Notamacropus eugenii: one gene and its partners. The protein of the gene in region 1 interacts with the protein of each later gene in a pairwise test. Links are inferred from orthologs where the notes say so. Each region holds a gene or a part of one and is shown in the gene's direction. Other genes may lie near its edges. The genes, in order: FUNDC1, YES1, GABARAPL2 and TUFM.

Region 1 (7,838 bases):
ACCGAGCTATCTCGTGTATTTCCGCCTCTTCCCGTGAGAAACGTGATGGGAGAGAGCTCTCCCCGCCCTCGAGATTGGCCCGGGTCTGGGCACACCTATTGTTATCTAACAGGCACGGTATTCAGGTGCAAACTATGCGGCCGGAGAGGTTAATTAGGATCAGGAAAGCCTGAAAGCTCTCTTAGCTCGGAGGGGCCCTGACAGGACAGAAGGCTCCGTTTTTCCTCTCTTCGCTCTCCCCTCCCCCTCTCTCCCCACTTACACTTCTGCTTCCAATCTCTTACCGTAAGATCTTTGCCTCCTTGGGAGATTTCTCTCTCCCTCCTAAGGAAGAATTCCCCCTGCACATGTAACCAGGACCCTGAATAAAGCCTAACCCTTGTTCGACTCCGGAAAGTCTCTTCTCTCATACGTTTATCCGGTTTGGCCAACCGAAGACCTGGGACAGGTAAGGTAAGACTCGGGTAGCCCTCAGGCCTCTAGGCCTGGCACATTGTCACTTGGGAAGCTTCTTCCCCTCAATTTAGCAAATGTAAATATTTATCCCCCAACGGGAATGTGACTTCTAGGCTCACTGAAAGTGAAAAATCCTCAAAATATGTTTTGAGGTAGATGTTTACAATCTGATGTGAAAATACACAGATCTTATGGTTTTACCTGTACATCTGGGTTTTTCTTGGGGGTTGGGAAAGTTATCATTTTCAGATTAGATGTCTTTGAAGGGAAGGGCTGGATTCTAGTTAATCATGACTCCATTTTCACGATTTTCTTGCATCACTCTCATTTCTTTTCCCAACTTTTCCTCCATTTCTCTTACTTGATTTTCAACTTCCTTTTTGAGCTCCTCCATGGCCTACAACCAATACCTTTTGCTCTTTGAGGCTTTTGATGTAGAAGCTTTGACTCTGATGTCCTTCTCTGGTTGTATGCCCTGACCTTCCTTGTCACCAAAGTAAGATTCTATAGTCTGAGTTCTTTTATGATTACTTATCTTCCTAGCCAAACACCTGACTTTCTAACTCTCTTTCAAGGTAGGACTATGCTTCCAGTGGGAGTAGGGGAGGTTGGGGTGGATTTATTGTACCAGGCTTCAGGGATTTTGTATCAGTCGCTTGATACCCCACCCTCTGAGGGCCCAGAGCTCTGGAAGCAGTCTCTGCTGCAGCTGCTGCCCTAAGGCTGGGGCCAGACCTTCAACTCCTTTTTCACCCATGTCCCACAGAGTTTTCCCATTGACCTTTTTGGTTTGTGGGTTGAGAAATCTGGTAACCACCACAGCTGCCAATGATTCAGTCCCCTGAGGTCTGCTGTGGCCAGTCTGTGTTGGTGCTGTCCACGCTAGACCGCACTCTGCTCCCTACCTGGTGTGAAAGACACTTTTTGTTGACTTTCCAGGTTGTCTTGGGCTGGGGATTTGTTTCACGCTATCATTTTGTGGCTTCTGTAGCTCTAGAATTTGTTTAGTCATTTTTTACAGGTATTTGGAGGGCTTTGGGGGAGAGCTCAGGGAAGTCCCTGCTTTTACTTTGTCATCTTGGCTGTGCTCCCTGGAAATCCCTGAATTTGTTTCTTTAAGGGTAACTCTAACGTCTACCACTTCCAGCTTAAGTTAGTTACAACACTCAATGGAGGATACTTACTTGTGTTCTTTCAGAAATAGGTAGCCTAGATTGGAAGAAGTTTCTTCTTTTCTACTCCCTAAACAATGGGCTCCCTCAGTGCTAAGAGACCTCACCCCAATTTAGAATGACTATCAGTAGAACATTTCCCAAATCTTCATCTTGGCAAGCGAGGTCATGAATGACCTTTTGCAATAATTACCAAAGAGCTCTAGAGTTCAGGGTACTCTTAAAGTTCTATGTTCTTCTGTTGCTCAGTAAAAATGAGTGGCTGGAAAAAATCCTTTGCCTAAAAGGAGTGGAATAATTCACTCATATAGGAAAAGGCCTTGTCCCTCATAATGTAAATTCAAATTTGCTAGTCTAAAAGGGACATGGTCCTTACAGAGAGCCAATATATCATAAACTGATTAAATAATTAATATAAAACTGTAAAATTTCCAAGCTAAAACAGGATAATCTAGTCCAACATAGCATGGAATAATGCAGGGAACTGATCTTGGAGTCACAAAGACCTAGATTTTCAGTCAGACAGTTATTAAGCAATGAGGACAAGCCATAACCCTTCTAGATTGGTTTCATCATTTTAAAACAGGTATTTTTATTTTTATAGGTTGTTGTGAGGATCAAATGCAAAACGTATTTAGAAATCCTTTGTATACTTTAATCCACAATAAAAATGTCATCTAATATTGTATTATTAGCAAATATATAGGAAGGGTAGCTTGTTGAAGTCTAGATGGGAAAAATTGACAATATAGTTTCACCATTTTATATGATGATCTTTTCTCCTGGAACCTGGCTTTGTACTCCATACTCTTCTTCATTCCATACAATCCCATGGGATATCTGGGTAAGGGATTTAACATATTCAATCTCTTCTTGAAAATTTCTAAGGATAGCAGGCCCTCTTTTATGGGGCAACCTGTTTTCATTTTTGCATAGTTTATGTACTAGCTCTTGCTAGACTATAGCTACACATATTCAGCATTTTTATTATAAATCCATGCAAATTAATCAAAAATTAAAATCATTGAATAAAGTGAGAAAAAAATAGTTTCATCTATTTCTTAGAATTTTTAGAATACAGTAAGTATCCATTCTACATATAACCTTACCCCACACAGCCTCCTTCTTTGCAGATACACAACCCTGAACTCATTTTTCTCTCCCCAGACTGATACAGTACTCTGCTTTTTGGGTTTAAAATGAATGCCATCTCCAAACAATCTTAGATTTGCTTCTTCAGGAAGGGGCTAAGATTTCAGTAGCACAAATGTCTAGGCATTGATAGCTCAGAATTTGAAAAGCAAAGTTCAGCAAAGCAGAGGCAGAATATTGATTTGAGGTAAAATTAATCTGGAACAGCAAACCAAGATTTAGCCTTTTTCTTTAGTGAATACTGTTTTGCTTAAATGTACAGATGAGTTGCTATTATAATGGGTCTTCCAAACATTTTTCAGGGAGAATCTCTCCTTGAACTTGTTTGGTTGGCTTGGTGATCAGATCAACACCATTCTTCATGTCTCACTCACTAGTTTGCAGGTTGAGGACACAGGGTACTCTTAAGAACCCTCTTAAGAACAATATGGCTCATTCCCCACCATCTAGTGTGCTTCTCATAAACAATCAACTGGCTTAAGGAAACAACTCACCAAATGACATAATAGTTAGCTATAATTTTCCTTGTGTAAACCTTGGATTTAGTTTTCCCTCAAATAAACATGGTATCTTGTGGGTACAGTGGGCACCAACTGAAACATAATTATAGTGAAGTACCCGTATGACCAAGGTAACTATGTCTCCAAATATTACAGGTCCTGAATAGCCTTTCTTTTAGTGTGGAATCCTAGGTCTTTGTTGCATTGGTAGGTCAATTAAGCTCCAGGGTCCAGCTTTCATTCTTTTGCCTGGGCTTGAATCCTGGGGTCAACTCTAAAAGTACGTTGACTAGATCTCTCTCCAATCCAGGGATCAACTCTTAAAATTACATCCACTATAGGGTTCCAGAAATTCCAGGTAGGGCTGTTTTGAAGGCTTTTAGGGGTGTGGCCAATTATTTCTCAGCCAATGGCCAGGCTCCCCTTCAAATTCAGACAAGGAACTTGTTTGCACCTCATAAAGGGCTCTCTAGGTGGGGCCTCATTTTTTAAAAGTTAGTTTAACAACTTATTATTTACTTTCTGTGATTACATTAATAAAGCTGGACTTTATTAATCCCACTCCCATTCCCCGCCCTCTCATATATATAATCCCATGGGGCAAATGAATGCAGGAGCCAACCTCATTTTTCCCATCTTTTCAAAAGTTCTCTTCTGCAATTTATTTCACTGATTAATCCATCATTTTCTTTCTACCTTTTTGATTATCACTCCCACTCCCTTTACCCTTTTCCCTACTGTTCTGTCTTTTAAATCACAAGAACTAGAAGTAATATCTCTATTTTGTTAGGAAGATCTAGGTAGGCTTTCAGTGAAGGCATGAATAAATCCCTAAAGATTTGGAAGCTTTGAGGATGGGGGGGAAGAGTGGTGGTGACAGGAGGGTTGAAGTCTAGGAAGATGGAGGGAATACACAGACCTTTCCAATGATCAAATTAAGGGATCTGGGTTTGATTTCACAGGGCTCCTTTTTGTTGGGAAATAGTCAATATCTGGAGATTGGGGCAGGTGGGGGAGGAGCCAAGGAGAAAAGGTGATTGAATTAAGCTGCCTCCAAGGGATACTTTGACTCAGTTTTAAGTCTCCTTCCCATCTCTAAAGTGCTTTATGTTTTTTTTTTTTAATTGTTTTCTTGAGACACTTCCCCTCCTACCTTTGCATTGAATTTTTAGTAATGTGAGAAAGAAAAATGGAAGGGGGCTGGGGGTGGATAGATTATTATGTTAATTATCTCTAATTTATCCTTGCTTTGTTTCCATTGGCATGTCTCCCAAGTTAGATTTTAAACTCCTGGAGGGCAGGGGCTGCATTTGGCCTCTAATTTTATCTCCAGCGTAGTAAATATAAATTGAATTGAACTGAAATGTCCCCAGTCCCCGGCCTCTTGCTTTCAGTCACCAGAACGAAGATGGGAAAGGGGGAGCGGGGCACAGGCACAGCAGGGGAGCGTCAGCCCTGCATCTTCATATGCTTGGGTCACCAAGACTACAATTCCCACAAGCCTCAGGGGCCGAGGACGGATGCGGCCCCCAGCAGGGCTCCCTCAGGCCCTCATAGTTTACGCTTGCGCAGGAAGTCTTATGCCGGGGGCAGGGCAGGGGGGGGTCAGGGAGAAGAAATAAAGGCTGGTTAAGGCGGAAGATAACCATAGAGTTCGGACTTCTCTCGCTTCCAGCGTAGAGCGGCCCCTAGAGTGGTGGGGCGAGCAGCTCTCCTAGGGGGCTATTAGGGGCGGGGGGTGGGGGTCTCTGACTACAGGCCGCCGGCGGGATCATGGCGACCAGGAACCCCCGTCCCACAGGTGAGCGGCCCCGAGGGACCCCCCGAGACGGATAATCGAAACAGAAACTGCGGTTATGCCCCTTCCGGACTTACCCCCATTTCCCTCCCCTCCCTTTCTCCGTGGCCCAACGTTCACCCTTCCCCCACTCGACCCCTCCATCTCCCCTCCCCCCCATTGCCTCCTACGTGGACCCCGAGCCCTTGGACCCTCTGCCCTTTCCCCAGACGCTGAGCTTCACAACCTTCCTGCCCCTCCCAGAAACCCCCAAACAACTCCCTAACCACCCCCTCCCTCTGCCCTGGAATCCCCCCTTCTCCTCCCCAGAGCCTCCCGCTGGCCCTTCCCCCCCAGTCTTTATTTACCCTCTTCCGTATTGGTGCCCGCACCGCTCCATCCCCCTCCTGCCATCTTTCTTGCAGACGTAGCCCCGCTGCCCCCTCCTTTATTGGGGTGCCCGCCTGGTCACAGGCCACCCTCCCCCACGCCCATTTCTTCCTCGTCCCCTTCCCCCCCCCCCCCCCCCAGAACACAGCCGGGTCTTCTCTCCTTCTGACCTTGCTGTACAGCGTGTCCCCAGAGTCTGAATGCAGTTTGCCCTGGCCGCAGACCCGTGTTTGTGTGCACCCCCTTCTCCCTCTCCTCCAGGAAGGCCGGCTCCTCTTCTCTCCCCGAGGTGCCCGTGCCAGAGGAGCTGTGTGAACATCCCTGGGACTTTTCCTGGTCTATTTCAGCTCCCCCGGCGTTTACCTTGTCTATTTCAGCCCCCCTCCCCCCCCCCCCCCCCCAGCGTTTACCTTGTCTATTTCAGCCCCCCCAGCGTTTACCTTGTCTATTTCAGCCCCACCCCCTTGTCTGGGTCTGGGCCGTCGGGAGGCCTTTCACTGGTGAAAGAGAAGAAAGACTTGGTTCTCCCCCTTTACCCTTCCCCCTTTGTCACTCTTACTGTAAGGCCTACCATCAAAGTCACTTCCATAGACCGCTTACCTCCCCCATCCACTTTGACTTCCGTCTTTCAGTAAGTCTTCGAGATGCTATCACTTTTTTACAGTAGGAACTCAAGATTTTATACACACAGATATGTATCTTGTATATAGATATAGACATAGAGAGATGTATCTCTGGTATCTGGAATTAGACACAAAAAAGTCAAAATTTAAGAGTTCTCAGAGAAACCATTTTACTAGAAAGAGAGATAATTTTAAACTGTTGAAGACCATTTCCTGGCTTTTGACTGAATTTAATGCCTGTGTTTTCCTTTTTCTCTGTGAAAGAACATGACAGTGATGATGATTCTTATGAAGTACTCGATTTAACAGAGTATGCAAGAAGACACCACTGGTGGAACCGTGTATTTGGCCACAGCTCTGGACCTATTGTAGAGAAGTACTCCGTAGCTACTCAGATTGTGTTGGGTGGAGTTACTGGATGGTGAGAATGTAACATTTTTTAATCTTGTAGGATGTCATTGATTCATTAAGACTTGTTCATACTTAACTGAGAGTGGTAGATTGGCAGGACACCCTTACAGACTTGAATTTTAAGACTAAAACATAATGGCTGTGTGAGCAGGGATTAAACCCTTAACTTTGAGGCTTTAAGTGTAGAATATTTTCTGATATTGAGTTTTTAGGAGGAATGCTTACAGATGAAATCACAAGTCAGGACCAAAAAATAGTTAACTAGCTCTTAAAAGAGCTCTTTTTCAATAAAGTAAGGTATATGCCAATGGAGATAAACAGACATTAGCCAATACTCATAATTGTAATATTTTAATCTACAACCAATGTTAGGTGTCTTGGTTTACAGTAGTTTAGTTTGGTCTTTTAAGTGAATAGTGGAGGTAATCAGGGTATTTCCTTACTAGTGCTGCTAAACTTAGTGTTCTTCTAATTATGTCTTGGAAAAATTATTGTCAACATCATACTCTCAGATACCTGTCTTAACTTTTTGCCCATGTTAACATAAATACCTTGGCCTTTTCTTTCTGTCCTCAAGTTTGAGATGGAGGTAACTGATGTTTCCTTCTCTTCCAATCAAGGGACCTTTGAGGTGGGACTCTTCGGCCAAAAGTCAGTATATCTCCACTCTTTGGCTTGCAGACTCTCATTTCCCTTCTAATTACTGTGATTTAAGATGGCCTGCCTGCTTCTTGAAATCTCACCTCCCCCTTCTGTTAACACTCCATCCATCTCAGCTCTTCTCTGAGTCCTTGTCTGGTTCCACCCTCTCTTTCCACTGGGTCCTGAGGAACCGCCATTGTCATTAACAAAACTTTCCATCCATCTTCTTGCACTCCAGGACACCTGGTTTTCGCCAGAAGATACTTCATCCCTTTCCACCCAAATCATATGTACCTTTTATTCTAGCTCCTGATATTTTAGACCAGGAGAGGTTTCTTTTATTAAGCGAGATCTTTCCTCTGCTGCTGTCACTCAGCAACTGGTGCTCTTTTAAGTTCATAAAATCCAAATAAATCACCCTTTCTAAACCCTGTTGGTATTTATTTACTAGTACACACTTCATTAATTGGTTCACAGTCTTTCTGCTACAAATCTTAACCTTATACTTGAGAACTTGAGTTGGGATTCTCTCAGCCAACCCCTATCTTCCCATTTCATCAACCTTCTCATCTCCTGTCACCATATGTATCTTTATTCCAGCTCAGATGATCATGCCCATCACCTTACCTTACCCATAAGTGTTCAGTCTTCCTGATCCAGACCCTGAAAATCTTTCTTCTGTCATTTTCTCCCCCTACTCCTCCTAAACCTGCCC
Region 2 (7,344 bases), on another chromosome or scaffold:
TACTGGTTTAAGATTGAAAGGGATTTGTCAGTTATAAAGCAGAATGCACACTGTGATGCAGTAAAGTCTCTCATATCTGTAATATTAAAAGGATTCATGTTGAAATAATTTAACACGTCTGTTTTAATATTCATGCCTCATGGAAAAAAAGATTTGTAAACTCTTTCAAAATTTTGGTAATTTTGAAGCAGTAATATTTCATTAATGTACATGATTTATTACATAATGTAAAAAGTTAATTTAGAACTCATACTGACATCTGTTTGGGTAATTCGTTCACATGTTGGTACTTCTAGTGGTGAGGGGAAAAGTTGGTGGATGTCTTTTTCTGCAATGGAACAACCATCTATGTGTATGTATGTATATATACACCATACATGAAAAATGCAAGTAAAATTGGAGATCTTTCAAATCTGATAGTTTTCTTAAAAGTGAAATTCTTCCTTAAAGACTAAGACTGCTCAGATCACCTAGTTTAACTTTCCCGACATTCCATTTTACAGATGAGGAAACTGCCCAAAGTCAAACTATAGTAGTAAGAAGAAATAGTTAGGATTTGATTCCAGGTTCTTTGATTTGAAATCTAGTTCCCTTCCGGTAATGAAAGTATTAACAGGTTATCAAAATTTTGTCTGTGCAAAATCCAGAGTTCTGCAATTCCGAAAAATTTGGGGAAAATTATATTTGGCTATGAATATACAAGCCAAATACTTGTATACTGGAAATGTATCTCATTTTACTTATATACAAATGTGATGTATTTTTCTTCTCAGCATAAAAGACTGGGGTGGGGTATATGTATGTGTGTGCTTGTGTGTTCCCAAGCTACTGAGAGCTGTATAGATGGTATGGTTATCAAATTCTCTTGTCTTGGGAACTTAAAATCATTTTATGTGAACGAAGGTGCTGTTTGGGGCTTTAACTTTGACTTTTCACAATAGAAAATGTAAATAGATAGTTTACTTAATCTAGTGTACTTGACTAAATTTACATCTATGATTCATTGATTTCTTTTCATAGCAATTCACACTGGGAAATTTTAACCTGTTCATAATTTGAACATATTTCAAATCTTCAAAATTACCAAACTATTTTTGTTTTTGTACCTAGTGCTTTTTCCCCTCATTTGTAATGTGTTCATTTTATCACTCAGCATGGAGGGAGGGACCATGTATATTTTATTTCATTTGTATAGTACACAGCATCATTTTTCTTAGAATGTTTAAGCAAATTTGCTTTTTTAACATCAGAAATTTCCTTCGTTTGTGCAGACTTTGAAATTTTGAGTTTACAGAATTTATGAATAGGAGAAAAATATTGTATAATAATTTCATCCCTGTAAATAAATTGTAGTCGTTAGATTTGTAGAATTACATTTGCCTCTCTCTGTGCATGGATCCCTTGGATCTGAGGGGCTAAGAAGTTCTATGCTTCTACCCCCTTCCCTATTTTTTTTCCTCTTCAGAATTTGCTTTTAAAACATCTTTGTCTTTCTGTTAATTTGTCTAGGTCATTTTTGTGGTGTGTATCAATTTCAAAGTATATATATTATTTTCACTTTTCACTCTTTCAGCTGCTCTAGGATTGGGGGCCCTGGGTTCAGCTGCAGCTGCTGGGTGACTTTGACACCATCTACCTTCTGACAGCTCAGAAGGAGATGTAGCCGAAGGAGCTTTAAAAAGTAGCAGAAAGGAAAAGGAAATAACCAGTGTTGGGGCTAGTATTTATTTAACTTTTGTATGCCAAAAAATCTTTGATTACAAGGTCAGTGCTGCTGCTTTGGGAGATCAACTTTCTTTTGAAAAATAATTCTTTTTTATTAGGAACCTAATAAACATGAACATATCAATGTACATAGAACAAAAAAGGATTGTATATGAAAATGAACTTTTGTTATGAAATTTTTTAAAGTGTATATTACATTTGTTATCATAGTAAGAATGGATCTTCTGATTCTGTTCACTCTGCATACAAGTCTTCCCAAGGCTTCTCTGAGTCCATTTTTTTTCTCTTAAAAGAGCCATAATATTCCATTGCATTCATTTACCATAGTTTATTCACCAATTTCCCACTTGATGGGCATCTACTTTTGTTTCAAGGGTTTTGCTAACATAAAAAGTACTGCTGCTGCAAGTATTTTTGTGCATATTTTTTTCGCCAAAACTCTATTTGACTTTTTGAGGTATCTGCCTTGTAGTAGTATCATTAGGTCAAAGGGTATCCACAACTTAGTCACTTTTTTGGTATAGATACCAAAATACTTTCCACGGTGGTTGGACCAATTGACAGTGTATCTCTCTTTCCGTTGTCTCCTTTCATTGTCCTTGCAGCTAGCTATTGCTCTTTTCTTTTTGTTATTTTTGCCTAACCTGTGGGTTCAAGGTGTAGAACCTCTGTGTCATTTTTATTTGTATTTCTCTTACTAATGATTTGGGACAATAACTTTCTTTTGAGAACTATATATTCTTTGACCATTTATCTTTTCAGAAATGGCTCTTATTCTTATATATTTTTATCAATTCCTTATATATCTGTGACATTAGACTTTTATCACAGACATTTTTAGGATCTATGAACTCATTGACAGGATGACCTGGCCTGGTTGGGTATAGAGATGGTGTGGTTCCCTAAAAAACATAGGGGTGAGATACATGCTTACAAGATGCATGTGAGGCACAAATGAATTGAGTTCTGAGGCCCAGGAGTTAAATGACTTAACTTAAATGACTCATGGACCATTCCCAATACCCATCCCCACACCCCCTACTCCAAGATCCCTCGTTCCTTTCTGATTAGATGTATACTTCAAGCTAGATTTGAAGCTGTTAATTTCTTTATTTTCTGTTTTCCTTTCTTGGAAACACTCTCCTCTCTTATTGAAATGATCAATTTTTAGGTTTCTTTCATGAAGACCAGTGGTCTCCAGAGCCAGGTGGGTTGCATAAGAAAAAAATCTATTGAAATGCAGAAAAATAATACTAGAATGTCTACTTCTGTTTATTTTTGTCATTAAAAGTTATATTAAGCTTTACTAATTTTTGATATACAGATTGACACTGACCCTTTCACTCCTTTGTTAATCTCTTTCAGTACTGTGATGTATTACAATTTACAAGTGCCCAGTTGAGGGGATTTGTGGATTATGTTATTTAGTTTTAGCATAATTAATGCTGAAAAAAATGGATACATGGTGTAAAAAAGATAGCTACAAAGAAACCATGGATTGAGAATATTAATAATGAGATAAAACTGTTCACGTGTGAAGAAATCTGCCAAAAAAGTTTAAGATTTAAAAATAAATTTTTTTGTGCCATCAATAAGGACTCTTGCATTGGTAAGTCCCATCTCTAATATAGATTGGCTGTGTGACCCTGGACCAGTCCTTTAACCAACTTCTCAGTGCTTCAACAAATTCTCTAAGACTGTAAGTTGCAAAGAAGGATACTGTCTGCGTTGGTAGAGTAAATCTTTACCCAGGAGCTCCCAAAGTGACAGTTCCTGGCCCCCTTTCCCCCCCTCCCCCCCAAATCTATATACTTTTTTTAAAAATGTAAAAAAATAACTTTCTCATCTGTACAAAAGTCCTCCTGGTGAACAGTTTAAGTGGTCTTTGAACTGATTTGCTTAAAAATACAAATATGTAACACCTTCCAATTGTAGTTTGTAAGTACTACAACTGATTGACTTCAGGAACTGGATTGAAATACAAACCTTTGCATGATTGATGTGTAAGATTGAAAAATGAGTGTCCAATGTCCTGGCTTAATGAATGCAGCTAGTAATGTACTTCTTAAATTTGGAGCTGCATATCTTTGTGAGTTTTTTTAAAACATTGATATGGCTTTTAGATTCATAATCTCATTGAACACATTTTATAAACTGACAGTCATTAAAAACACATATTGAAACAAATTGAACTTAGAATGAGGCCTTTGAATCTCTATTTCACAAAATGCTAAATCAAGATTTTTAAAAATCATAATCATTTAATTATTCTACTGTCACTAAAATATATATGCCTATGGAATATATCACTACAAAAATTACAAAAATATTTATGCATAAAATACTAGTAATAATATTTTAATAAGGGTAAAAAAGCTTTTTACCCTTATTTTAATCCCTTGTTTTAAAGTACTATTTCACTTTTAGCCTATCCTTTGTTAATTTCTTTGTATATGTTTCATGATGTATTGGTTTTGTATGTGATATATTGGTTTTATATGTGATATTGGTTTTGTAGTATATGTATATAATTTATAAATAAATGAACATGTATCAGTGTAGTTGGAAATTTTTTGCTGTTGTAGTGCATGAACAAAAACATTTGGAGCCTAGTGATTTAGAGAGCTATTGTTATGTGGAATCCAGAAAGTTTAGAGGTTAGAACTCCAGTTGCCAGCTCTTTAGCTGAGAAGTGGAATTCTCCAGGAGATAGTGCTTGTCCCCATCCAGCTTTCCTTCTGTATGTAAAAGTCACACTTTTCAGTAATCCTTCTATATCCAGATGTTCAAACTATAACCATAGGTTTTCCCTTCTCTTTAGTCTCACACAAAGTCTTAGGGAGAGGTAAAAAAGAAAGACTTGTACAGATTTCTTATAAATAATGTAATGATGGTAATAGTATTTTTTGCCAAAATTCATAATTTTGAAAACATGCATTCTGTTTCATTTTGTAGCATTGTTAGACGAGGAAAAAACTTGTATAATTTAAGTATCCAAATATATAGTAAAGATAATTATCGGCTAGTAGAATGTAAGCTTCTTAAGGTATTTTGGATTTTTTGCATTTTTGCTAGGCACTGAAAATATACATGCTAAATTTCATGTTTTGAATGCTTAATACATACTGTTCACTTAAATTGGGAATTCATGTCCTTATTGAATGTTACAGACATATGTGCCTTTGTGTGTATACATACACGTATATACACACACATATATGCAATACATATATATACATAACACACACACACACATATATCTCCAAACTAACAGATGCCATTGGAAAATTGATACTTTTGAGACAATGCTGCTATTAATGTTAATGTAGTATAGGAACATCCCAAGTCAACCCCAATATCAATTTGACTTGTTTTTCTCTTCAAAACTTTTTCTTACTGTGATTGTCTAGAGTCTAAGCTGTTTGCCTTTACAATCCTGAAAGGAAGGATGGGAACATTTGAGAACACATTGTCAGTGTGGTACGTTGACATCAATACAGTGTATTGATATTGATTCTACGGACATATTTTATGCATTGCCTTTATAATGGAATTCATAATTTCAAACTTTTCCTATATCTTTTCGGGCCAAGTCTGATAGTGTTTAAATTTTAGGAGAATAGACAAGGATTGTTTTAAAGGCTAAGGAAGGCTAAATTCTATGTTCTAGAATGAGTTTGCAAAACATTCAGACTTTTTGGGGGATTGTGAATCTAACAGCCATTTTATTGATATGTGTAAATCTAACTTTAAAAATCATTGTGGTTCAAGTGAAATGAATCTTTACTCAGGACAGCTTCTGCCCCTTCTCCCCTTAGTCTTTTTTGTCCTGGTAAAAAGTACAAAGCAAAAGTATTGAAATATGAACTTTATTTGGTAACGTAAAAGTCTGTCAGTACACTAACAATGACAAGTCCATATCCTTTTAAGAAATAAATTTTAAGGTGGGAGAGGAAAGATTTTCTGATTTTCTTGATGAAGTAATGTGTGGTTTATTCACAGGATCTGTCTGGTGGGAGGATTAAAGGGGAGTGGAAGGGACTAGGACAAGACAGGAAGTACTGGGAGAAAGGATTGATGACTGAAACCTCAGAATAAAATTAATTTTCTACCAATATACATAACAATTTGTTTAATATGTCTGCTTTTTATGGAGGCCAGTTTTTAGAAAAAACTTCAGCATTGTTTTCATCTTATGCATTAGAAATTTTTTTGGTTAAGAATATGATAGATGCTTTTACTATGAAAATAGATTCTTATAAATATTCTATAGGAACCTTATTGATTTATGACTTTTTCAGGAAAGGCATACTGTTTTTTAAGAGAAACACAAATTTTAATATTTTTTTCCCTTCATGATCATGTAGCATAAATAAAAATACTTAAAAGTAGAAAAGAGGCAGTATGAAAAAAAGACTTGGATTCCACTTTGTAATCCTGTCTCTGGCTGGCCTCACTGTTCAAAAATTCCTTACAGCTTTGAAATTCTATGGCTTTTCAACTTCCAGTTTTTCTCCCTAAACCACACTAATAAGTGTTTAGGGAAGACCTTCAGAAATTTCAGATTCTGTCCAAATAAACTAGAAAATAAGCATGGTCCTATCAAATCTGAATATTAGGTTATCAGATGAGTCAGAATTGTAATTAAGACCTTTGATTCCGAGACTTGGCATTGAACTTGGTGATGATGTCTTTTGTGGGGTTTATTCTATATCCTGTGCAAATAATCATTTTGGTAGGTTAATAGGTTATGTAGTATAATGGAAAGATTACTAGATTATTGATGGAGTTGTGAATTGGTTTCAGTCATTCCAGAAAGCAGTTTAGAATTAGGCAAAGAAAGTAACTAAAATGTCATTGACCCACAGATTCCATTGCTACAAAGGTACAATAAGAGCACCAAAATATTTTATACACCTTACCCTTATATACCAAGATATTTTGTTTTATAGTAGCAAAGGCCTGGAAACAAATTCAGATGCCTGTCAATTATGGAATGAAAAATGCAAATGAAAAGCATAAAATTATGCCTCAAAATTATTATTACAAAGTTTGGTCACAAAGACAATATTTGAGGAAGCACCTCCTCTGTTTCCTTTGAAAAAGAACAGAGTGATGGGCATGGAACACCACATACGATGTCAGGATTTTTTGATATGTAATTTTGGTGAGCTGGCTTTTTGTCTTTTTTTTTTTTTAATTTAATAAGTAAGAAATAGTAATCTGGGAGGGAGTTGGGGGTAAAGGTACAATGGAAACTAAAAATAAAAAAGATTTAGTAAAAACATATTTCAAAAGTTTGGAAACAGGATAAATTTGTTTACATTCAGTTCTGAGAGATTTTCATTATAAAATTTGTATGTGTTGTTTAATGTTTCTATAAACATTAAAGCTTTTTCTTTTTTCTCCCTCAGCAAAATGAGAATCAACTTTAGCATATGGAAACATTTCTATACTGCAGATTATTCTGTTGGGGGTGGAACACAGGACCCAAGTATTTACAAATAATTGTCAAATGAGTATGTATTTTCAAATACTACTAAAATAACCAAAAATCCTTTGATGTAAGAATTGCCCACAGATACTAGAAGATGCTTCATTAACTTCATTTTTAGGAAG
Region 3 (7,338 bases), on another chromosome or scaffold:
CTCAGGCCAAATCCCACTTGATCATTGTTTGGGCCCTGATTGGCCCAGAGTGAATGTAAATAGCAATTGTTTCTGTTTTGGCCAGAAACCCTGACATCTGGTCTTCCTCTCCTAGATTTTTTTTTTTTTGATTAGGTCAAAAAATCCACTCTCTTCCTCTTTTCTTTCCTAGCTTTTATCACTGAATGGTCATTGCCTCTCACACCGAGACCTTAGCTTAAAAAGAGCAAGGTCTAACAATGCATCCAAGGCCATCTCCAGTCATCCTGATCTATTTCTTGCCACTGGACCCAGATGGCTCCAGAGAAATGAGACTGGTGGCTCTACACAGCTCTACCTCACTTACATCCAATTCCCCTATGTCATGGTCCTCTTTGAGAATGACGGAAAAACAGCAACAACAGAATTGTGAAGATTTAATAAAATAGTGTATGTAAAGTGCTTGGTAAGTCTTACACAGTACCCCTTCAAGGGCTAATTCTCCAACTTCCAATAATATGTATGAGTGGGCAGGGTCCCAAAAGAGCAGCTCACAATTTCTTCCCTCAAAATTCTAGGCATAATCTTGGTTATCTACTCTTAGAATTAGATATGTGGTGACAGAGGCTTCTGATTGGTTGAAGAACTTGAAGGGCTGATGACTCAGAGGCTGCTGAGATAGAACTGAGTGTAAATGAAAGGAGTAATCTTACCCTCAGTAAGCTTTTTTTTTTTCCTTCCTGGGGCAAGTAAAGCAAAACTGCCATGATGTGGCAGGTAAGACCCAAGGCAGCTATCTTTCTCACATCTGGTCACCATGTGTTCTCAAATACATGTTGCTTCTGCTTCTTTTATGTTTATTCATTCGTTCTTGATCCTAGATGAATAACTATTCCCAGAGGGAAGTGTCCTAGCCACCACAAAATAGATCAGAGCCACCCAAAGTGCACCTGACAAACAGTCAATAGCAGAGTCCAACCCAGTAGTAGAGGTCAGTGACAAAGGAAACACCTACAGATAAAGGTAGAAACCTGACCCCCAAGGATGACTGCAACTTTAAGGATTATAACCCTTTGGGACCAAGAAAAGTGCTGGTTATGGACCATAGAAAGGCATTGATTCTTAGAATCCAGGAAATACACCTAAGAGGAACCTCATGAGAATTTCATGACGAGAAGGAAAGAACTTCTAGCACCAGGAATCAGGGAGTACCCCTTGGCCATGTGTTCTTTATACATATGCCTCATTACCATTGTACTTTAAGGGAGTGCACTGCACTCAGGACCCTTGTATGTACATGGAGAGCGTATGCTGCCAGCTTAAGGAAAATGTTTTTGTAACTATTGTTTTTGCTATACTTTCGTAGCACATCCCTTTTCTAAAAGCAGTAGAGTTCTACAGTTGGATTGATAATGGGGAGCACCCCAGATTGGGGCTTGTGACTGACAATACTAAAAACTTTACCCTTCCAGGATGCTCATGGACACGTTGCAATAAAGGTGGGAGATAAATCTTTTCCTTGTACTGAGGCAGTTCAGTTGTTCTACTGGATTAGAATGAAGGAGGGAATATCTATCATGTTCTGTAGAATTGAACAGGAAGAACAAATATGAGTTTGCTCTAAGGATTAGGTCCTCATTGGCTAGTTCCTCATTACAGCCAACTTATTGTACAAAGAAGCAGTCCCCACCTTAAAGGAGTTTATACCCTATTGGGAGAAACATGTACAAAAAGAAATATAAACAAAACAAACATGTACATATGATTTTTTTATTATTAAAGTGTGGCATCCAGAAGTGACACAATATTCTAGATGTAGTAGGACCAGAGCAGACAGGGACAACTACTTTACCTTATTTTGGGCATTATGACTCTTGTAGTAATACAGCCTTGAACAAACATTCACCCTATTGACTCATTTTGAGCTAAATCTTCAGGTTTTTCCCCCCATAAGAACTGTTGTCTATGTGTGTCTAGCTCATCCTGTACATATTTCATGGATTTTTGGAACTCCAGTGTAGAACTGTGCATTTATCTTTATTGCACTTCGTCTTATTAAATTAGCCCACCATTTTAAGTTGTTGAGATATTTTTGGATCCTGACATTGTCTTTCAATGAATTATTCCTCCTAGCTCCTAGCCATCTGACGACCTGACAAGCATGTCATCAATGTCTTCATCCAAGTCATTTGATCCACCAGGAGTCTTTGCTCCTTTTCTTCCTGACTTGGAACATTTACTTCTCCATCTGCTAATTCATGTCCATTCCTTCCTTCAAAACTCTTTCTGAGTCACTTCTGTCATGAAACTATCATTTGCAATTATTCACATATCCTTAGTATTCATAAATATAAACCTGTAATTCACCTAGCATTTAAAAATTAATCTATTTGTATTTTCACATAGGGTTCTACCTTGTTTATTAGGGTTATAAGCTTCTCCAGGACTGGATCTATGTGTTTTACTTCCTTTGTAGCTACTTACCGTGTCTTGTTAGGCAGAGAAGACCATTGAAATATTGACTTAACTAGTAGGTAGATAATTAAAATAGTCAAGACGGAATAGGGAAAACAAAAAAAAAATATTGCTAGGAAAGTGGATGGAAAAGACCATGAAAGATTACATAATTAGAATTTGAGCTATGAAAAGCTCAGGAGGAGGTACATGGGGATGCAAGATGGTTCAAGTAGCTTTGAGTCCTTATAACTCTTAAAACCAGAGAGGTATAAAAGTAATTACTTTTTAAGCAGAGGTGGTCATAAATACATATATAGGGCAACCTGGCTGGGGTAGCCGAAAGGGATTCAAGGTCCTTTGGAACTCTACTGCTTTCCTGAATAATGTTGAACAAACCACCTTACCACTCAGTACTTTTGTCTCTAAAACAGGAAAGCTCACACGTCCTTTGGAAACAGGTCCTGAGAATAAATACACTATCTGCAAAGAACTCTCTGGGAGAAAGGTCTGGTCAAAATGCAAAGTATTTTTACTTTCACTTTCAAAATATTTGCGTTGCTCAGAGGTGCAACCTCAAAATAACTAAAATATTTGAGATGTAGTTAGGCTCCGTGACATGTCTCAGGAATTTTAATTGTAGGTAAGGAAGGAAGACCAGCATTAAAAAAGAGACCTTTCAGATACATCAGAGTCGCCAGCACGTGATATGCATCGTGCACATAAATTGGTCAACACACCCTCTAAAAGTTCAATTACTCATAAACAGATGACTTCCCTGTTCTTCCCAGATGATTGTTTGGAGGAACGTAATTACATCACCAGCTGGAGAACCTTTAAAGTATGAGGAAAGGCAGGTGACCTGTGCCACACTGCCTTGTGACTTTTGAACCCTGCTCAGAATGGCCCACAGGAATGCCAGTCTTATGACCCGCTGTCAAGGGAATTCATCAGTCCTGACAGTCACCTCTAACTTCCCTCTCTCCTCCGCTCAGTAATGAGACATGACCAAACCCAGAGATGGGGTCTCTTACTGGAATCTCATTTGTAATAAGTGAGCTCCCAGTCATGAAACTTCTCTGCCTCCGCAGGCATCAGCAACCCCTCCCCATACAGCCCCCCACGGACCTGTCCCCTAGAGCCCCCCACGAACCTGTCAGCATCACCCCTCCCCCTAGAGCCCCCCACGGACCGGTCACCACCGCCCCTGCCCCTAGTGACCCCACGGACCTGTCAGCATCACCCCTCCCCCTTCAGCCCCCCACGAACCTGTCCCCTAGAGACCCCACGGACCTGTCAGCATCACCCCTCCCCCTAGAGCCCCCCACGGACCGGTCACCACCGCCCCTGCCCCTAGTGACCCCACGGACCTGTCAGCATCACCCCTCCCCACCAGGACTCTACCGACGGGTCACATCACCCTCCTCCCACATTCGGGTCACATCACCCTCCTCCCACAGACGGGTCACGTCACCCTCCTCCTACAGACCTGTCACTGTCACCGATCCCCCTCCCTCGAGTTAGATCTCCTCCAGAGGTATGGGAGAGTGGCTTACGCCTTCTGGGCGGGCTGCGTAGCGCAGGCCCCGCCCCTTAGCGACTGTCGCCGGAAGGCCCGCCCCCTGCCCAGTTGCTAGGCTCCGTCAGTCGGAAGTCCCGCCTCTCGTGCCGCCGCCGCTGCCGCTGCCGTCACCTCCTCCTCCTCCTCCTCCTCCGTCGCCGTCGCCGCTGTTTTTGTTGTTGTCGAGGCCGGGCCCGTCCGGTCCCTTCCGCGGCTCCGAGAGCCGGCTCCGTCCCTTCTCCGCCGCCGCCGCCATGAAGTGGATGTTCAAGGAGGACCACTCGCTGGGTAAGGGCCGGGTTGGGGGCGCGGGCCCGAGGCCGGGGTCGGCCCGGGGGAGCGGCTGGCGAGGCCCGGCCCGGCCTGAGCCCTCTGCGCCCCGGGCCCCGGGCCCAGTCTCAGCCCGGCCCGCGGCGGAGGGTCCGGAGGGCCGGGGCGGGGGCCGGCGGAGCCGAGCGCGGCGCCCCTCCCCGGGGGCTCCACCCCGCCCGGGCCGGCTCGGCCGCGGGGCGAGGGAAGGGCCCGAGGCGCGGACCCCCGCTCCGAACCCCTCACTTTGTCTCGTCCACAGAACACAGATGTGTGGAGTCTGCCAAAATCCGAGCCAAATATCCCGACCGGGTCCCGGTGAGTAGGGAGCGGGGCTCCGGCGGCGCCCCCCGTCCTTGCGGGGCGTCACGGGGGGCGGAGGGGGCGCAGGGAGGGGGCCGGGGCCTTCACCGCCGCCGAGTGTCCTATCTGGGGCAGCCTCCAGGCTCCCTCCGGGTTATGGAAGGGACGGGATTCCAGGACGGGCCGAGGGGAGCACGGGGGCGGGGGCACCTTGCCCTGATGCCCCCCCTTCGGAAGGGTGCGGCAGGTTGGTGAAAGGGCTCCGTACCTGCCGCAGGCTTTCTTCTCGGAGGGGAGGGCGGGGAGAGGCCGGGGTTCGGAGGACACACACCTGAATTCTTAATCTTTGAGAAAACCGAAATAAGACCGGCCAGCAGAAAGAGGAACCAGGGGGGCAGGTTAACCACTCGGTTCCTTAAAAGTTCTCTGCCAGGTTCCTGCCTCTGCTTGTTGGGTGTTCCCATCACTTACTGGCTTTGTTACCTTAAGCCAGTCATTAATGTCTTCGGTTTTCCTCATCCACATAACCGTGGAGTCCCTTCCAACTGTAACGTTTCTTTGGTAACTCAATTATCTTGTGAGGTGCAGTGGGTCGAACTTTGGGGGATTAGATGGAACTAAAATGAATAATTTTCTTCACTTGATTTTCTAAAGTTCAATACATTAAGAGCTGCTTTTTTCTGTAAGTGCCTCTGATCAGGGATGTAGAATACAGTAACTGACTTCATGAAAGAAAACAGCTCACCATATAAATATACTCTCCAAAGCGTATAATTTTCAGCAGCAAAGGTAACATTTTGCCATTCTATCATGTAGTTCTGTCTTCCTCTTAATCCCCTGACATTTCTAGCACAGTGTGCCTTCATCAGCTCCCCAAGCACATGACAGATTAAAGCCTTTATTTCAGAAGCTAACCCTGACCTCTGCTTTTCCAGGTGATTGTGGAAAAAGTCTCAGGCTCTCAGATTGTTGACATTGACAAGCGGAAGTACCTGGTTCCATCTGACATCACTGTGGCCCAGTTCATGTGGATCATCAGGAAACGGATCCAGCTCCCCTCAGAGAAAGCAATCTTCCTGTTTGTGGATAAAACAGTCCCACAGTCTAGGTGAGAGGCAGTCACTTACTGATCCTTTGAACACTTATTTTGATGGGTTGATTGTGGTACTCAAGTACTTTTTGGCCCTTAATCTCTTAGGGATTGTCTTGAAATGTAGGCTTTTGTTTTCAAGTAATAACTAGAAGAAAGGGGAAGATGCCATGATAGTATCCATCTGTACTAGGGCAGGTTGTGAAGTGGAGAATGCATACTGTTAAGAACCATTGAGAGCAGCTTCTTGGGGCTGAGCTTAAACTCCGGATCTGAGGCTTGAGACAAAGGTCTACTTTAATAGTCCAAAAATTAGTAGTGCCCATGCTTCCTGGAGCTCTTCATTAGGCCTTGCAGAGTCCTAGATTTGAACTAATCACCTTGTTGGCTGTGTCTCCAAATGCTTCAGTCAGCTTTTCTCATTGCAGTCGTTTTTTTAGCTGTCTGATTATCATTTACTAGGGCTGGTTTCCTGTGAAGGGCTATGAGAATTACATGGATTGTTAGGTTTTTGTTCGTTTTGATTCCTATTTATCACTTTTTGCTTTGGCTGGCAATAGAATAACTTTAGCACTCTAGCTGTTTTCCTGCTTGGAACTTCATTCTAACTACAACTTGGGACCAAAAATCCAGTTTCAAGGCAGTCTTCTCCCATTCTGTGTTGACCTTGTCAGTTTTATCTTCTGTATGAAAGGAAATAGACTTTAAACTCGTAATTGCTTCTTCTCTTACTCTACGTTGATTACTCTCAGGCCTATGGCCAGATTCTGGTTTCCTGTTTTGTGTTGCTGTCTGAAAGGGGATTCCTGGCCCTTTGTAACATCAGAGACCAGAAGAGAGTCAAGACTGGTTTAGGCTCAATCTGTTTTCCAAAAAGAGAATGTTTGAAAACAAATACTTTGCCCAGTGTGGACAAAATGCCCTTGATTTGGAAACCTTTGAGGCTCCAGAGGAGGGATCTAAACCAAACTCATTCTTTATTTCTTCTAAAAGTAAACAGCTTTGGTTTTTTAGGTGTTACTTCCTTTTTCCTTAGTCCCTTCAACAATATCTACTTCCTAGTGAGGGTGGAAATGGAATAAGAAATAAGATCTTGGCCTTGTAGTGGTGATTCCTACCTGAAAAGGAAAAGCCCAGCCATGGCCCATTGAGGTTCTTGGGCTAGCCACAGCTGTCATCTGAGAAGTTTCAGGTTTATTAGGAACAAACTTGTCACTTTGGAGTCACTTCTTCTGGCCCTCCCTCTCTTTGATGAGGCCTGTGGTTAGGAGTGGAAGGCAGGGCATTTCTTGGTGCTTCTTTCACTAGGGTTGAAAGCTGTTGGACAGCAATAGTTAGCTCTTGTCCTTCCTTATGGGGATGGGGGGTCATCATATGATAAGAAGCAGGACTTCATTACCTACCATCTGAAACTCTAGCAATCAAGTTTAAAAAGCTCTGTTTTTGCTTCATCTTAGAGTAGGATATGTGGCAGTTAGGGCTTTTTTTTTTTTTTTGCACTTCACTCTGAACTTTTGATACAACTTGAAGAAAATGAAATCAAAATACATTGAGATCACTTCGTTTCCTGATGGCTGCACTTTAATAGTCACAGGGGCCTTAAGTTACTCCTTTCCATTATCAAGGTGATCTCAATAGGAGA
Region 4 (7,881 bases), on another chromosome or scaffold:
AACGCGGGGGGCCCTCACCCCAGGCGGGTCCCCCCAGACGCCGCAGCTCCTCGAGCCCGACCCCTGGCCCTGCGGCGGCGAGGCCCCAGCGCGCCTCCGGGGTGGGGGGCTCCGGGGAGCGCCCGGCCTTCCCTCCGCCCATGGCGGCCCGCTCCGGCGGCCTCCCGGGGGGCGCTGCCCTCGGGGCGCTGCCCCGGCCCCCGGCCTCCGAGCCCGGCCCCGCTCCGGGACCTTCGGCCTTCCCTCCAGTCCCTGGCCCGGGGAAGGGGGGAGGGTCCGAGTGGGGAGAGGAGAATGAGGAGGGGGGTTCCGGTTCCGGTCCCACCTGCATCTCGGTCCCCGCGGTTTGCTCCGGCGGCAGCAGCAGCGGCGGCTCCCGCTCCCCCCCCACCCCCAACCACCAGTGACCAGCGACCAGCCAGCTACTGCGCAGGCGCCGGGACCCCCTTTCCCATCAAGGAAAAAAAAAGACCATAGATAAGCCCGCGGAGAGAGAAAGGCACGTTCCCCGCCGACTTCCTCCTCCTGAGGCACGGGGATCATAGAGACCGTTCTCCCAGGGTGTAGGAATAGGGGCTCTTCATGCGGAGGAGGAGGAGGCGCTGGGAACACTCGGGCGTCTCCACCACTCGCCCCTCAGGGTGGAACATCCCCTGAGGCGTCCCGCCGAGATGGCTTAGTCTAGACTAGGACCTCCCCTGCCATCTTCCGTAAGGAGGACGGAGGTTGGCCGGCCGACCGACCATAGAGACGGGGCCTCGCGATAGAGTATCCCAAACAGAGGCAGGGGAGCGTGAAACCAGAGAGAGGACGGCGCCTCCTCCAGCCGGCTAGAGGTCACAGAGAGGTCAGGTGGCCTCCTAGAGCGCCGGATTCTCTCGTTCTAGGAAGAAGAGGACAGCGCCCCCTGGAGGAGGGATGTGGGAAGGCTGAGGTGACCTTGAGAAAGAATTCCCACCTCCCAGCTGGGGAGTCTAGAACCTGAGTTTATGTTCAATGGTTTTCAGTCGTGTCCGATTTTTTGTGACCCCTTGGTGGGGTTTTCTTGGTGAAGATATTGGAGTGGTTTGCCATTTTCTTTTTCAGCTCATTTTACAGATTAGGAACTGAGGCAAACAGGGTTAAGTGACTTGCCCAGGGTCATACAACTAGTAAGCGTCTGAGGCTGGATTTGAACTGAGGTCTTCCTGACTCTAGACTCAGTGCTCTCTATCCACTGTGACACCTACCTGCCCCTGAGTCTAAGACCTTGGCCTTTTTCTGGGCAAGAAACAGCAGCCCCAGAAATGCCTTGAGGTTCTTCCTCAGCACTTGGGGGACTGATATCAGACCAAGGGGAATGCAGTGGTCTTGATGGGCACATCCAAGGAGACCTCCACCCTTGAGTCTCCAATGGAAAAAAAACCCTTCATTGACTTCCTGCCATGTCTGTAATTTACAAGATAGTATAATGGACTGAGAAAGGGAAGTAGAGAACCTGAACTTAAATTCTGGCCCTAGAGACATTCTGAGTCTCAGTTTTCTCTTCTGTAAAATGAGGAGATTGAATTAAAAGACTTGTATGGTCCCTTCTGTTGATGCATAATGATATATGAGCCTGCTAATAGTCATGGGATGGGGTAGGGGGGGCATCTCCAGTCCTGATCTATATCTTGCCACTGGACTAAGATTGTTCTGGAGGAGAAAGTGAGACTGGTTACTTTGTAGAGCCCTGCCATCCAATTCACTTGCAAGTTATGACATCACCTTCTGGACGTCATGGTCCTCTTTGAGAAGGAAGGACAAACAACAAAAGTTGTCTCAGGGGTTTCAGAGATAGCTCAAAGAAACCAGTAGAATCAAGTCACTTTAACTGAAGATTCATGTGGATGGTGTTTTGTTTCTAGGATTCTACAACTACTTCTGTGTTAAGGGCTTGTATTTAACATAAGACAACATGGTGTAGTTTATGTACAGACTTAGAGTCAGAGGAGACTGGAATCTGAGTCCAGGCTGTAACGCTTATTAGCTTTGTGATCACAGACAAGTCTCTTGACCTCTCTGAGAATTAGTTTATCTGTAAACTGGAGATTACATTTGTATTAAATATCCCATGGGCTTGTCATAAGTATGACATTCATATACCATAATTCCCCAATAAATGGACCTCATCCCCTTAGTTTCAGGCCACTATGAAAAGTGCTGTTGTATTTTTGTATACATAGGTCCTTTCCCTCTTTTAAGTTCTTTGGGATATAGCCCCATTAGTCAAATCGCGAGGTAAAAGGTATGCAAAATTTACAGACTTTTGGGACATGGTTCTATGTTGTTTTCCAGAATGGCTGAACCAATTCAAAACTCTACTAATAGTACATTAGCATTCCTGTTTTCCTTCAGCTCTTTCAACATTTGCCATTTTTTCTTTTTGTCATCCTTGCCAATCTGATGCATTCGAAGTAAAATCTCAGTGCTGCTTTAATTTGAATTTCTCTGTTAATGATCTGGAACATTTTATCCTATGGTCATTGATAGCTTGTATGTCTTCCTTTGAAAACAGCTTGTTTCATGTTCTTTGTTTATTGGTGAATGGCTCTTATTCTTATAAAATTTGAACCAATTCCTTATGTATCTTGGAAAGGCCTTTATCAGAAAAAAAAGTTGTTGCAAAGATTTTTTTCCCTCAATTACCTTTTTCCTTTCTAATTTTAATTATAACCAATTTTGTTTGTACAAAAATTTTTACGTTTTATATAATCAAAATTGTCTAATTTATCATCTATCATCCTTTTCCCTTGTTATAAGTTCTACCTAGATGTAGACTTTGATAACTCATTTTTATAGAACTCAAGAAAGATGCTCTGACAAAAATATGTATCCCCTGATTCTCAGTACCCAGACATCTTTAAGGAAGGCCTGGGGAGAACAATAAATACTCTGTTCTTTCAACTAGAGACTGTGGCACCTGTGTAGCTCCATGTGTGGTATGCCCTTCTAACAAAGAAAAGCTCTTATCTAGTTGATTGGGAAACTCATCGTATTGATCGGGATTCTCCTGGTCACTTGCTACAAATATGGTGAGAACTATAGAAGAGGTACAGAATACTTTGAGAATTCTGAGAAAAAACCCTTTCTGATCAAGAATTTTGCCAGAAGATTCACTAAGTAGAAAGAATTTGAGCTGGGCCTTGAAGTAGTATATGATTCACATAGATGGAGAGAATAGATGAAGACATTCCAGATCGAACACTGACCACGTTGGCTGGAACATTAAGGCAGGATGCAACAGTGGGATTGGAAAGGTAAGGTAGGAGTCAGATGGTAGAGGATCTTGAATTCTAGATCAAAGAATTTGGATTTTATCCTGTAATAGTAATAATGATTCACATTTTTATGGAACTTGAAGGTTTTTAAAAACACTTTCCTTCTCACAACAACTTTATAAATTAATATGAGCACTATTTCCCCCATTTTGCAAATGAAGAAAGTAAGGCTAAGAGAAATGAAATTATCTATTAAGTTTACACATTTAATAAGTATCAGAAAGGGTATCTGAACTCAGGCCTTCTGACTCCAAGACCAGTCATTACTCTTTCTATTATACCACAAAGCCTGCTATACATCTGGGAGAACCGCTGGGGATTTCTGCTTAAGACAGTGACATGAGCAGAGCTGTGTTTTATAAAAGAATCTGTTTGCAGGATGGATCAGAGAAAGATGATATTGGAGCAAGAAAACCAGCTCGGAAGGTTGTGCAGTAACTTAGACTAGGGGCCTTAACACCCCCATTTTAGAAGTTGTGGGTGGCTAGGTATCTCCCATTAAGAAGACTGAGTCTAGCACGTTAGGTAAATTTTATTTGTTACTGATGTAAGACTATTTCCCTTTCAAAAGGGGAACCCAAAAGAAACTCAATAGAGGAATTTCTGGCAGAAACCAGAATGGATCTTCAGGGCAGATATGGGAGACCCCATTCCTCATGCCTTGGAGAAATAAGCCACTGTACTTTGGAGCTCCCTGGGGAAGGTTCTGTGCTGAATAATGAGATCTCAACATACCTAGGTAGTCTTAGACTCCTAGCATATTGAACCCCCCCCCCCCAACCCATTTTGCAGCTCTGCATGGAAACCACTACCTTCTCCCCAACCCCTTGTCCCCCTCTTACTTTGGGGCCTATACATCAATCAGCAGAGCCATTGCTTCTGGAAAGGGTGTGCCCATTGCCCTACACCTCCACTCACCATCCCTCTTCCTTTCAGCCCAAAACATCCTTTCCTATGGAATATCCTTGCCGTATTGCCTGCCCTTGTTAGGTTGCGAGCCCTGTCAGGGTAAGGACCGTCTCGCTCTTGCATTTTCAGGGCTTAGCACAGCGCCAGGAGCACAGCAGAGTTACAGGGATAAGGACCAGATCTGTGATTTCAATGACGCAGGGTGCCCCCCGAATGAGGACACTACCAAGGCAAGTGGCACCTTGTCTGCAAGACCGCTCAAATGGTTTTCTTCACTCATTCGCCCGGGGTGAGTAGGGTATTTGAGACATAAAGGGCTCCAGCCCCGAGTCACTTCAGGTCAAGTGGGAAACCCCCGACTTGCCTACAACCATCTCCTAAAAACTTCCCCAGAATGAGCCCTAGACAACCCCTACCCTCAGATGACCACAAATCCCAGAAGGCAACACAAAAGGGGCGGGGCTTTGTTGTTGTTCCTGGAGATGCATGATGGGAGCTGGCAGCTGGTCTATGTCTCCGGCCTTCGGCCCCAGTCTTCTTCCGGGTATCCCTGCCTCACAGGAAGTCCGCCACGGCGGTCCTAGAAGGAACCACTCCGTAGTCTCCCTTTCCTGCCCTTCGTCACTTCCGTCCGACGGAAGTGCTTTCCAGTTCCCCGTGCCCTTAGCGTCTCGCACGCCGTCCCGTCCCCGGTCCCTTTCCCCTCTGGCGCTCTTTTCCTTCTAGCGCTTCCATTGGCCCCGTTCCTCCCCCTCCGCCCGCCCCCGTCCCTCGTCGCGATGGCTGCAACCGTGATGTTCCGTGCACGGCCCGGGCCCGGCGGTAGGAGGGAGGCTGCGGGGCCTCTTGACCCGGGGGCAGAGCAGAAGCGATGGGGAGAGCCGGCCGAGGCAGAGCGGGGAGGAGGAGGGTGCCATGGAGGGGGCCGCCGGCGGGAGGGGTGCTGGGAGAAGGGGGCGGGGCGGGGGGGGGCGCCGTGGGGGAAGGGGCCGCCGGCGGGAGGGGCGGGGGGAGGAGGGGGCGGGGCGGGGGGGTGCCGTGGGGGAAGGGGCCGCCGGCGGGAGGGGTGCTGGGAGAAGGGGGCGGGGCGGGGGGGGCGCCGTGGGGGAAGGGGCCGCCGGCGGGAGGGGCGGGGCGGGGCCGAGGGGTAGAGGAAGGAAAGCCCAGAAGGGGCGGCCGGGGGTGGGGGAAGGGAGAGCTGCGCTTTTCGTCCTCTGACGCCTTCCCTTCCCTTCCCTTCGCAGCCCTGCAGAGCTGCCAGCTGCTGCACAGGTTCTTGAAGAGGGTAAGGACACGTCCCAGATCCCACCCCTGACCAGGGCGCGAGGGAGGGGGAAAGCTGCGTGAGCGTGAGCGGAGCTGCCCTTCTCTGGTGCCTGACACTTGAGGGCCCGGAATTTTTCTTTCCCTGCAGGCTCACCTTTCCAACCCGGGGCAGAGGCCCTCCCTGCCCCTCCTTTTACGGGGCCTGGCTGTCGAGGCCAAGAAGACGTACGTGAGAGACAAACCCCACATTAACGTGGGCACTATCGGCCACGTGGATCACGGCAAAACCACACTGACAGCGGCAATCACCAAGAGTAAGACCAGAGGAACGTGTCTGTGGGGGAGGGCAGCGTCTTGGTTGTCGGGGGTCAGAAAATATATATGAACAGGTGGGCATTTTAAAGGGGCACTGCTAGAGGATATCCTGCGAATCTAGGTGGGGTGAGAAGCAGGGCGAAGATAGAAACTTACAGGATCCTTGTTTCCCGGATGTTGCTTGCCTTATTCTTGAAATGGGATCTGGACTGTGGTTAGGTGTACGTATTCCCTTCAACTCTTTCTTCCCTTCTGGTTCCAAGTTCTGGCAGAGGGTGGTGGGGCCAAGTTTAAGAAGTATGAGGAGATTGACAATGCACCAGAGGAGCGAGCCCGTGGTATCACCATCAATGCAGCCCATGTGGAATATAGTACAGCCACTCGACACTATGCTCATACTGACTGTCCTGGGCATGCCGACTATGTCAAGGTGAGAGGAATATACTGGGCAGCCTGAGGCTTGGAACTCTGGGGAAGATACAGAAATGTCATGGTTTTACTGTAAGGTGCTGGTAAGAAGAAAGGAGAAAACAGAGCCTTAAGGGGAGGATTTAAGGCACAGGAAAAGGAGGAATAGTGGAGAAAGACTGACCACATCATGGCCCTTGGAGAAGAGAAAAGCAGAAAAATTTGAAAGCCAAAGCAAATTTTCATGTTCAACTAGCATCATTCTCTTTCTCCAGAACATGATCACGGGCACAGCCCCATTGGATGGCTGCATCCTGGTAGTGGCAGCCAATGATGGCCCCATGCCCCAGACAAGGGAGCACCTGCTGCTTGCCAAACAGGTATCAGTCTCTTCAGATGGAGCCTTGCTAGAAATCTAAGTCTGCAGTGGGGAAGGATGGTGTAGGGAAAGGAAAGCAGTCTTTAAAAAGGGCTCTGAGGTGAAGCATGGATTCAGTGCAGTCAGGATCATTCCTACATTGCATTTCAAATGCCCTTTTCTAAACTTGTCTGTAAACCTTGTTAATGGGAGCAATTTTCTCCCACCAGATTGGTGTGGAGCACATGGTAGTGTTTGTGAACAAGGCAGATGCCGTCCAGGACAATGAAGTGATAGAGCTTGTAGAGCTAGAAGTACGGGAGCTGCTCACTGAGTTTGGCTATGATGGAGAGAAGACTCCTGTCATTGTTGGTTCTGCCCTCTGTGCCCTTGAGGTAAGGGGGAGTAGAAGGTGGCATGTTGGGGGGTGATTCTCCTTGGGGTTTTTTGTTCATTCTCATTCTCTCATGGGGATACCTTTGAAAGGGTTGTCACATGACCCCAGGCTGGACTGACCATCTGACCCATTGTCCAAGATTTTGTGAAGAGGAAGACTTATGATTGGAAGACTGAATAGGAACTTTAGCCCATGTACCACCTCTCCGCTGCTGCTGCCCTGTATTCTTTGTCTTCCTCTTTGAGGAAAAAAACTGGCTCTTCCCTGACCCTATGCTTCTCCTTTAACCATAGCAGCGGCAGCCAGAGTTAGGGGTGAATTCTGTAATGAAACTGCTCGATGCTGTGGACACTCATATTCCTGTGCCCGCTCGGGATCTGGAGAAGCCCTTCCTGCTGCCTATTGAGTCTGTTTATTCCATCCCTGGTGAGATTGCTGCTTTATATTTTTCCCAGCTTCTTTGAGCCTCCCCAGTGGTCTTTCTCCTGGTTTAGAATCATCCCTTCTTGGCATTTTTAATTTTCCCCAAATCCCTTGAAACCCTCCCCACATTCTAAGCCTTTCTGTTCTAGGTCGTGGCACAGTAGTCACAGGGACCCTGGAGAGAGGAACTGTGAAGAAAGGGGATGAATGCGAATTCTTGGGCCACAGCAAGAACATTCGTTCTGTGGTCACAGGTCAAGTTCACATGCCACCATTAAACCCTTCTTCCTATTTCCCCTGTTCTTGCTTACCGACTGAGACCTTGTCCCTCTCCCTGTTCCTGCCTTCAAGTTGCTCTCCTATTTCAGGAATTGAAATGTTTCACCAGAGTCTGGAACGAGCTGAGGCTGGAGATAACCTTGGTGCATTAATTCGGGGGCTGAAGAGGGAGGATGTTCGACGAGGCATGGTGATGGTTAAACCAGGCTCCATTCAGCCCCATCAGA

The links.
Region 2: the proteins of FUNDC1 (region 1) and YES1 interact in binary tests that used the Homo sapiens proteins (3 or more experiments, as listed by UniProt). The two-hybrid records come from large-scale screens. The link is inferred for Notamacropus eugenii from reciprocal best matches to the Homo sapiens genes FUNDC1 and YES1.
Region 3: the proteins of FUNDC1 (region 1) and GABARAPL2 interact in binary tests that used the Homo sapiens proteins (3 or more experiments, as listed by UniProt). The two-hybrid records come from large-scale screens. The link is inferred for Notamacropus eugenii from reciprocal best matches to the Homo sapiens genes FUNDC1 and GABARAPL2.
Region 4: the proteins of FUNDC1 (region 1) and TUFM interact in binary tests that used the Homo sapiens proteins (3 or more experiments, as listed by UniProt). The two-hybrid records come from large-scale screens. The link is inferred for Notamacropus eugenii from reciprocal best matches to the Homo sapiens genes FUNDC1 and TUFM.

The regions. Positions count from the first base shown.
Region 1 is NC_092876.1:429,739,302-429,747,139, forward strand, and holds the start of FUNDC1 (FUN14 domain-containing protein 1), read left to right. Parts: upstream 1-4,734; 5' UTR 4,735-5,053; coding exon 5,054-5,081; intron 5,082-5,425; exon of another isoform or gene 5,426-5,511; intron 5,512-5,617; exon of another isoform or gene 5,618-5,732; intron 5,733-6,334; coding exon 6,335-6,491; intron 6,492-7,838. UniProt on the Homo sapiens protein: Integral mitochondrial outer-membrane protein that mediates the formation of mitochondria-associated endoplasmic reticulum membranes (MAMs).
Region 2 is NC_092875.1:243,865,443-243,872,786, forward strand, and holds the start of YES1 (tyrosine-protein kinase Yes), read left to right. Parts: upstream 1-4,211; 5' UTR 4,212-5,205; intron 5,206-7,139; 5' UTR 7,140-7,240; coding exon 7,241-7,244; intron 7,245-7,344. UniProt on the Homo sapiens protein: Non-receptor protein tyrosine kinase that is involved in the regulation of cell growth and survival, apoptosis, cell-cell adhesion, cytoskeleton remodeling, and differentiation.
Region 3 is NC_092872.1:712,633,357-712,640,694, reverse strand, and holds the start of GABARAPL2 (gamma-aminobutyric acid receptor-associated protein-like 2), read left to right. Parts: upstream 1-4,066; 5' UTR 4,067-4,248; coding exon 4,249-4,282; intron 4,283-4,565; coding exon 4,566-4,621; intron 4,622-5,541; coding exon 5,542-5,714; intron 5,715-7,338. UniProt on the Homo sapiens protein: Ubiquitin-like modifier involved in intra-Golgi traffic. Modulates intra-Golgi transport through coupling between NSF activity and SNAREs activation. It first stimulates the ATPase activity of NSF which in turn stimulates the association with GOSR1.
Region 4 is NC_092872.1:46,584,659-46,592,539, forward strand, and holds the start of TUFM (elongation factor Tu, mitochondrial), read left to right. Parts: upstream 1-4,677; 5' UTR 4,678-4,987; coding exon 4,988-5,030; intron 5,031-5,452; coding exon 5,453-5,493; intron 5,494-5,622; coding exon 5,623-5,788; intron 5,789-6,052; coding exon 6,053-6,219; intron 6,220-6,472; coding exon 6,473-6,577; intron 6,578-6,785; coding exon 6,786-6,950; intron 6,951-7,245; coding exon 7,246-7,378; intron 7,379-7,524; coding exon 7,525-7,629; intron 7,630-7,743; coding exon 7,744-7,881. UniProt on the Homo sapiens protein: GTP hydrolase that promotes the GTP-dependent binding of aminoacyl-tRNA to the A-site of ribosomes during protein biosynthesis. Also plays a role in the regulation of autophagy and innate immunity.